2 linked regions of the Caenorhabditis elegans genome follow. The protein of the gene in region 1 interacts with the protein of each later gene in a pairwise test. Each region holds a gene or a part of one and is shown in the gene's direction. Other genes may lie near its edges.

The links. Proteins that work in one complex are often made in the same cells at the same time.
Region 2: the proteins of ZK632.12 (region 1) and Y116F11A.1 interact in a two-hybrid assay, tested with the Caenorhabditis elegans proteins (one large-scale study listed by BioGRID).

What each region holds. Positions count from the first base shown.
Region 1 is NC_003281.10:9,828,986-9,832,925, forward strand, and holds ZK632.12 (uncharacterized protein), read left to right. Parts: upstream 1-1,816; 5' UTR 1,817-1,852; coding exon 1,853-1,868; intron 1,869-1,915; coding exon 1,916-2,308; intron 2,309-2,787; coding exon 2,788-2,996; intron 2,997-3,044; coding exon 3,045-3,185; intron 3,186-3,231; coding exon 3,232-3,273; 3' UTR 3,274-3,438; downstream 3,439-3,940. Other genes in the region: ZK632.11 (uncharacterized protein), read left to right, coding at 1-186, 232-627.
Region 2 is NC_003283.11:19,728,800-19,732,745, forward strand, and holds Y116F11A.1 (ATP-dependent DNA helicase), read left to right. Parts: upstream 1-1,780; 5' UTR 1,781-1,857; intron 1,858-1,902; 5' UTR 1,903-1,929; coding exon 1,930-2,055; intron 2,056-2,661; coding exon 2,662-3,095; intron 3,096-3,151; coding exon 3,152-3,200; 3' UTR 3,201-3,443; downstream 3,444-3,946. Other genes in the region: Y116F11A.3 (Saposin B-type domain-containing protein), read left to right, coding at 239-409, 603-791.

The sequences.
Region 1 (3,940 bases):
AGAGATGTATTTTGCTCAGTTTATCAAGATGAATTGCTGAAAATATTCAAGAAAAGTGAAAAAGCGGAGAAACGAAGAGCCAAATCAACTCCGAAACATAAAAAGTTCGCTAATGAAGATGATGATGATGTTATAGTAATCACAAGTGATGAAATCAAAATTGACAAGTTCAATACTCCGGGAGAAGTAAATTAAATTAAAATAAAAATTCAATATCAGTTACTTTTCCAGGAAGATTCCATTATAATACTCGACGGCTCTGCTTCAACAGAAGAAAAACACCTTTTGACTCCGATTCGAAAAGATGTAAAACTAGGAGAATCGATGTTTGAATTAATCGGAACTCCAGTGTTTGGTAGCTCTCTTCTTACTCCTGTTGCTCCACTTGAAGCGTTTGCCGTCGGAATTCAACCATTTGAAGCAAGAGAAGAACTTACTGGATGCAAGGGAAACTTCAGAAATCTCATGGACAAATTGAAAGAAATCCGCGAAAATAACTTCGTTCCGGAGCCTGAAGAAGAAGTTATTTTGGTTTCAACGAATGAAATTTCGTCGTCGAATAACTCTGGAACTGCTAAGAACAAAAATAATCAGAACAGGAAAAGAAATAGAAGACATGCTAAATGAATTGGCTTTTTGAAAAATCCTTTTGTTGAATTATTGTTGTTGCTTAAAATTGTTGTTGTTGTTCCATATTTTTACGCAAAACTACCATGATAAAACCTTTTTTCTTGATTTTCCAACCTCTCTCTTGTTGTAAATGGTTCCGAATGTCCACAATCTTCTATTTTGGTCATCAATTATATCTTTATCTCTGCGTTTCTTTCACTCTTGCCGCTTTCCGATGGATTGGTGACACACAGCAAATATCGGTTTTCTCAATTTAAACTAAATTGGTCTAATTGGCTTATGTTTAATCAGATTATTTCGAGAAACCTGTGAATATTAAAAAGATGGTATAGGTTTTGAGGGATTTTTTGCCGAATTTATTTTTTAGAAAGTGATGGAATTTTTTATGATTGCAAATTTTTTTAAAAATTATTTAAAAACGAGCTGAATTATTTTTTGAATTCCCGCGCAAACGAATTCCTAAAGTTTCGACGTTTTCAGGTTATATTATTAAGGTTTTTATTAAATTATTGATTCGAAACATAATTTTGTAAAACTTTCATACATTTTTTCCCGCAAAACAAGTTTACATTATTGATTTGAGGCCAGATTTAGAGTTTCAGAGAAGTTCTTTAGATTAACAAAATAAAATAAAAAGAAACCCCAATTAATATAGCCGGAAAAAGCAAAAAATATCGAAATTGTGTAGATCACTTGCGCGGGAATTCAGAAAAAGTTTAGCCTTTTTAATCATTTTTTTTCCAAAATTGAAAAAAATCATTTAAAACAATGTTCAAATTTTGTAATTTTGTTACAGTTATTTTCGGTAAATATATTGAGATTGTTATTGTTAATTAGAAGGAAAACCTACAAAATCTGCTCCCATACCATGCATAACTATATTTAAGATCCGAAATCTTATTCAAAAAAGTAATAAAATTAATTGAAACCTTTTTTCCAGGCCACCAGTTGTTCTTATCATTCATTCGTGACAATTTATTCATTGCATTCTTTTTCTTTCGTTCAGGCAGCGGTCCACTGGCTTGTCCATCCGATTGTTTGCACATAAAGTGTATGATGACTCATCACATTCCTTTTCCCTCTCTTCTTATTCTGTTCTCACTCAAAATAATTTTTTGTTATGATTTTCAACCTTCTTCGTCTCGAACTAAATTTATGAATTTTTTGAAATATTCAAAGTTTTCAGCGGATTCTTTCCATCGTTTCTAAATCACAAAACACAATGGTTGATCGACTTGGTAAGTTTTATTTATTTTCTTTTATAAAATAATTTATTAAATTTTAGTGAATAGTGAAGTGAATTCCCGTCGAATGGCTAACGTAGAACAATGCTTTGGAAAAATGGGAGAACAATTGTCGGTATTCGGACGAGTTCTTGTCGGAGAAGGTGTTCTTGTGAAAATGTGCCGAAAGAAACCGAAGCAACGGCAATTCTTCTTGTTCAATGATATTCTTGTATATGGAAACATTGTGATTTCGAAAAAGCGATATAATAAGCAAAGAATTCTAAGATTGGAAGGTGTACAAGTAGAAGATCTGGAAGACGATGGAATTGAGAAACATGGATGGATTATTAAGACACCTGCAAAATCGTTTGCAGTTTATGCAGCAACTGAAACTGAAAAACGAGAATGGATGTTGCATATTGAGAGATGCGTTACAGATCTCCTTGAAAGAGGTAATACACGAAAATTATTTTCAAAAAATTTCCACCAAAAAATTGCAGAGAAAGTTTGAAACCACCGTAATCTTTAAAGGCGCTTACCATTTTCCGTTTCAAAAAATCTTGTCGTTTCGAGACCGAAAACCGTATTTTTAATGCAACAATCGCAACATTTTTCGTCTAATTAATATTAAGCTTAAATAAGTCTTAGGCGCATTGTGGTCTTTTTATTTAAAAAAATGTTGGCAGCAATGTTCAATTTAATTTATAAATTGTGATGCAAAATTGGTCCATAGATCGACAAGTTACAGTAATTTGTTGTCCGCCTGGCGAGACCCATGCGCCTAAGATAGGTGAAAAATTCTCATATTTAAATGACCAATAATATACGTTCTACAAAAAAATTGGGAATCACCATATCTCTAAATTAAAACGGTTTTTTAGATAAATTATTTTTTTCTATTAAAAATACAATCAAAATTTTCTACTTTCAGGAAATAAGCAAGCCGCGACTGCTCACGCAGCTGTATGGGTTCCCGATGGTGAAGCAGTGAAGTGTATGGTCTGCGGGAAAACTCAATTCAATCTGGTTCAAAGAAGACATCACTGCAGAAATTGTGGACGTGTCGTGTGTGGCGCCTGCTCATCGAGAACATTCCGTATTGACAATGTACATAAGAAGCCTGTCCGAGTTTGTGATCATGTACGGTGAAGTTTGACACTTTATCGTCTAAATATCATGATTTTTCAGTGCTTTGACAGTCTGAGTAGTGCCACACCAGGACAAGAAGAAAGTGAACCAAAAACGGGAAATCGCTTGCACCATGAGGATTCCTCCTCGGATAGTGAAGACGAGGTCAATGGTAGTGGACGATCGAGTAATGAGAGCCGGGTATACTGAATATTGCCTAATCTTTCAATAAACATACAAATTTCAGCCAACATTCTACCGTGAGGACGTTCAGCAGCCGGCAACATAGTTCAACGCATATAAACTACGATGAAAATTCTAAAATCCACGTCCTCATTCCTACTACTAAATTAATATTATATTTTCTTAAACGTTCCTGTGATATACAGCAATTGTACGTATTTTTTTTTGTTGCTTCCAACGACTTTTACAATTCCTGAAAAAAAGTTATTTCCTTTTTCTTCAATTCAAGATTATTCAGAACTGCACAAAATTAAAACGACCACATGACAGAAGGAATCATTTTAATAATCATGAATTACAGAAATGATCAAATTTCTTGTCCTTACAAGAAACAGCGCAATTAACTGAAGTGTTCAGAGAAACGTATGGTCCATTCGGCTTGGAATCATATAAATGTTCTTAAATTATTAAAAGTAAAATAAATGTTTTATTTACATATGATTAGTGAAATCAGAGCACAAAAGTGTGCAATGAAAAATAAATTTTATTTTCTGGAGTACTGTAAGCGGGCACATGGTGTATTGTACGCAGAGTTCTTCGAGTGTTTGCGTATCCACGTTGTTCTCCACGTGGACAAAACGCGCGGCACGTTTACTTTCTGAAAATTCGTTTTATTTTTGCATTACTGTCTTCTTAAAAGCTGAAAATGGCTGCAAACGAAGTGTAAATTTCATAAATTCCTAAGCTTTTATTCATATATATATATATATATA
Region 2 (3,946 bases), on another chromosome or scaffold:
TTATAGAAAAATTCAAAAATGTCTAGACAAAAAAGATTTCCTAAAAATCTGAAACATCTTCAGTCAAAAAATGTTTTTTCTTCGAACTTTTTTTCCAGATGAAACTTGAAAAGTTTGAAAAGCCTCTCCATAGAAAACATTTTCCCTTAATTCTTTGTCAATTTCCAAAAAAAAAATCTCGAAAATTTGAATATAAATACCCCTCTCTCCCTTAACTTTTCATATTTTCCTGAAAACCATGAAATTTTCCAAACTTCTCATACTTTTGCTAGTTCTGACTCCATTTTGCTCTGCCGAGTGGTACAACAATCAAACCGATGCTTGCAACTACTGCGGACAAATGGTTTTCGGGTTATTGTTGCAGAATGATGTGGAGACGTTGATTAGCACGAATCGCTTGGTTTCAAAGGTTAGTTCGTTGAGTAGAGCTCGAAATTCTGAGTATTTTGTTATTTTGAAACCCCCTCCCCCTGCGTCTCTCCTCCTCCCACACTCTCTTGACTACTTTACTTCAAACGCGCGTATCTCTACAACGGTAAGAGATATTGAAAAATTTCCAACTGACAAAATGATCAGAATCAAATTTTGCGTCTTTTTTCCAGTACAACTTCTGCCCAAACTACGCCCCCGGATGGCAATTAGACAGTTGTGTGGCATTCCTGGACTACACCTTCAGTTTCTTTTACCGCATCTACTACGCCATCAACTTCCCGATCCGTGACTACATCTGTGTTCCAATCTGTGGAAACAGTGGGGAAAACTTTGAGATTATATTCAAAAAAAGAAGATGATAACGATTTTGATTTTTACATGAAAATGAATAAACTATTGACTTATAGCTCCTTTCTGTGAATGCAAAAGTAATTCTATCCGAAAAGTTTATTGAGAAAAGTAAATGTTCATCCCACGATCGCTGTTAAATTCAATAGATGAACTCTTCGTATTGATAACCAGAGAGTAAAATATGGTGGGAAGCCAGAGAGTAAAATATGGTGAATTTTCTATTTTACCAGGAGAATTGTTAAACTTACCAGGAGAATTTTCAATTTTACCAGGAGAATTTTTAAATTTACCAGGAGAATTGACTGCAGAAAAGTAAATAAAGTAGTCACAAATAATGCTCATCCGCTGCCACACATTGAAGCAACATTACAGTCTCTAGCTGGAAAAAAGATTTATTCCACATTTGACTTGATGGCAGGTTTTTGGCAGATACCATTAAAGGAACAAAGTAAGAAGATAACAGCATTTGCTATAAGAAATGAGCTCTTTGAATGGAATGTTTTACCTTTTGGGTTAGTAATTTCTCCAGCAGTATTTCAAGCATGTATGGAAGCCGTCAATATTTAATAATTTATCATACATAAAACTTGAACTTTCAGAATTTTATATGTCGATTTTCCGTTTTTCTGCCGAATACATTATTTTCATTGTCAATTTTTACTAGTTTTTTTTTCGGATTTTCTTCAAATTTTACAACTTTTTCGTCTTCATTTTCTCTATTTTTTTAAATTAAAAACTTGTTCATCAAAGATTTGTTGATTGATATCTAGAGGTGCGATTTGGTATGGATCATATATGTAATGAGGTGATAATTGCATGGGTCGGCAGCAAACAATTAATATACTTTATTTTGCGATAACATTGTCAAACAAGTATGGAGCATTATGATAGGTGCTAATGACATTGTAATTATATACATGTAGGCGGTGCTCTAGATGATATGTAGATAACAGTAGTATTTAAAAAGCTGAGAGTGTCCAGTCATCACTGAATTTTCAGAACGACTGTGTGTTGTTCATCTGTCTATATTTTTTATTATTTTTTCTGCTCAAAACCAAAAACAAAAAACCTGAGGTAAGTTTTTTAGTTTTTGTCCTTTTTCATATAATCCCCACCCAGTCACATTTTCAGAGGTGTCACCGTCTCATGGAGGGTTCTTCGTCTGTCGGGAAGACGGAGATCACCATATTGACCCATGGAAATCTGCACACAATGGCTAACGACGAACAACAGCAACTTCTGAACAAGATCGTTCGGGATGATTCGCAAGACGTAAGTTTTTTTTTCAAATAGTTTACCGAAATACATTTCTACAATTATTTTCCTAATTTTTAGAAAAATTCTCTATCGAAATTCATTTTATACCAAAACACATTTTTTCTAAAATTCTTTCCCTAATTTTTACAAAAGTGGAGTACCGAAATCTGGGAAATATTTTAGATTGCTCCAAATTTTCCCCTGATTCCGAATATCTATATGTAAAGATTGAAAAAATTTCCCTGTTTTTATATTTAAGCTTGAAATCACGAATTTAATTTGTGCCCCGGTCTATTTTTTTTCAAATACGCGCTCAAAGAAATTTGCACTGGAGCAATATTTTTCAGAAAAAAACCGATAAAAACTCGACAAAAATTAATAAAACTGGTTAATAACTGAATTTGGCGAAAAATAATTTCTTTGGGTGCGCATTTCAATAAAGAGACCGGGTCACAAATGAAATTCGTGATTTCAAGCTCAAATATAAAATCAGGGTATTTTTTAAAATATTTTTTCACATCGATATTCGGAATCAGAAAAAAAATTGAGTAAATTGAAAATATTTCCCAGATTTCGGTATTTTTAATATGTTTTTTGCCAAAATTCGTTATTCGTTTTCAGAAACAAGTATTGTTAATGATAAATGGTGCAGCTGGGACAGGGAAAACATTTTTGATCAAGCTAATAGAAAACTCAATGAACAGAAGCGTAAGAAAAAGAGTAGTTTTGATGACTGGATCTACCGGGAAAGCAGCAAAAGCGATCGGAGGGCGCACACTGCATTGCACAATTGGCCTACCGAACGAAAAACCTGAAGATCTGGAAAGATTGAAATATCAGGCATTCATCTGCGTCACGACACGACTCATTATCATCGATGAAATCACACTCCTAGCGAGCTGGCACCTGGATGCGACGGACATGGTTCTCAAGAGAACGCCGAAGAGGACGGATGCGCTCTTCGGCGGGCTATCGATCATCCTCGTGGGGGATCTTCGACAGCTGAACTTGGGAGGATGGCGTGGAAAGAAGCAGATCGACACAGTCTTCATAAAGTAAGAAATTTTGAAAAAAAAAACATCATCAGAAAAAATATGAACCTAATTTCCAGAGTTGGTGGATACCCCGACCCCATTTCCTGTCAAAATGTGTGCGATTGAGGAAAAGGGGGAAATCATTCTCGACACCGCATTCAAACTGACCCCGGCTATGTTTTACACCGGATTGCCAGTCGAGTCAGAAAATCTAATGATTTATTCCTATCATATAACGGAGCCCGAACGGATAGTGTGATCTTAGAACCCATATATACCCCCTGAGATTAGCGCCGTGATTGAGGAAACAATGAAAAAACCTTACAACTAACCTTTTCTTTTTTAAGTTTTGATAAATATTCTTCTCAAACAGTAGGAAATGTGTATTATGAAATAACTTGGTTTCGCAACCAAAAGCATATCTTTTGAAAATTGTTCTATGTCTTAAAGGTGGACTACGCTCAGTGGGGAAATTGTTTTAAAACACGCCTATGGGGCCACAATGACCAAATATCATAATAAAAAAATTCAAAAAAATTTTCTAAATTTTATATGATTTTTTGAAAATTGAAAAAAATCTCAGTTTTTGCCTAATTCCTATTTGAATTACCGCCAATTGGATTTGTTCGATGGGGCGCGCTTGCACGTTTTTAAATTTATTTATTTTATTTTTTGTTATTTTCCACCGATTTTTAATGTTTTCGGTGTATTTTTGCTTGAATTTTAGAGAAAGAGTCAAAATAAATGCAAATTTTCGATTAAAAAGCAAGCGTACAGGTGTAAAAATCAAAAAGTAACGCTTTTAAACGATTTCGAACCTGAATTAATTAATTTCACTGATTTACACCTGTACGCTTGCTTTTTAATCGAAA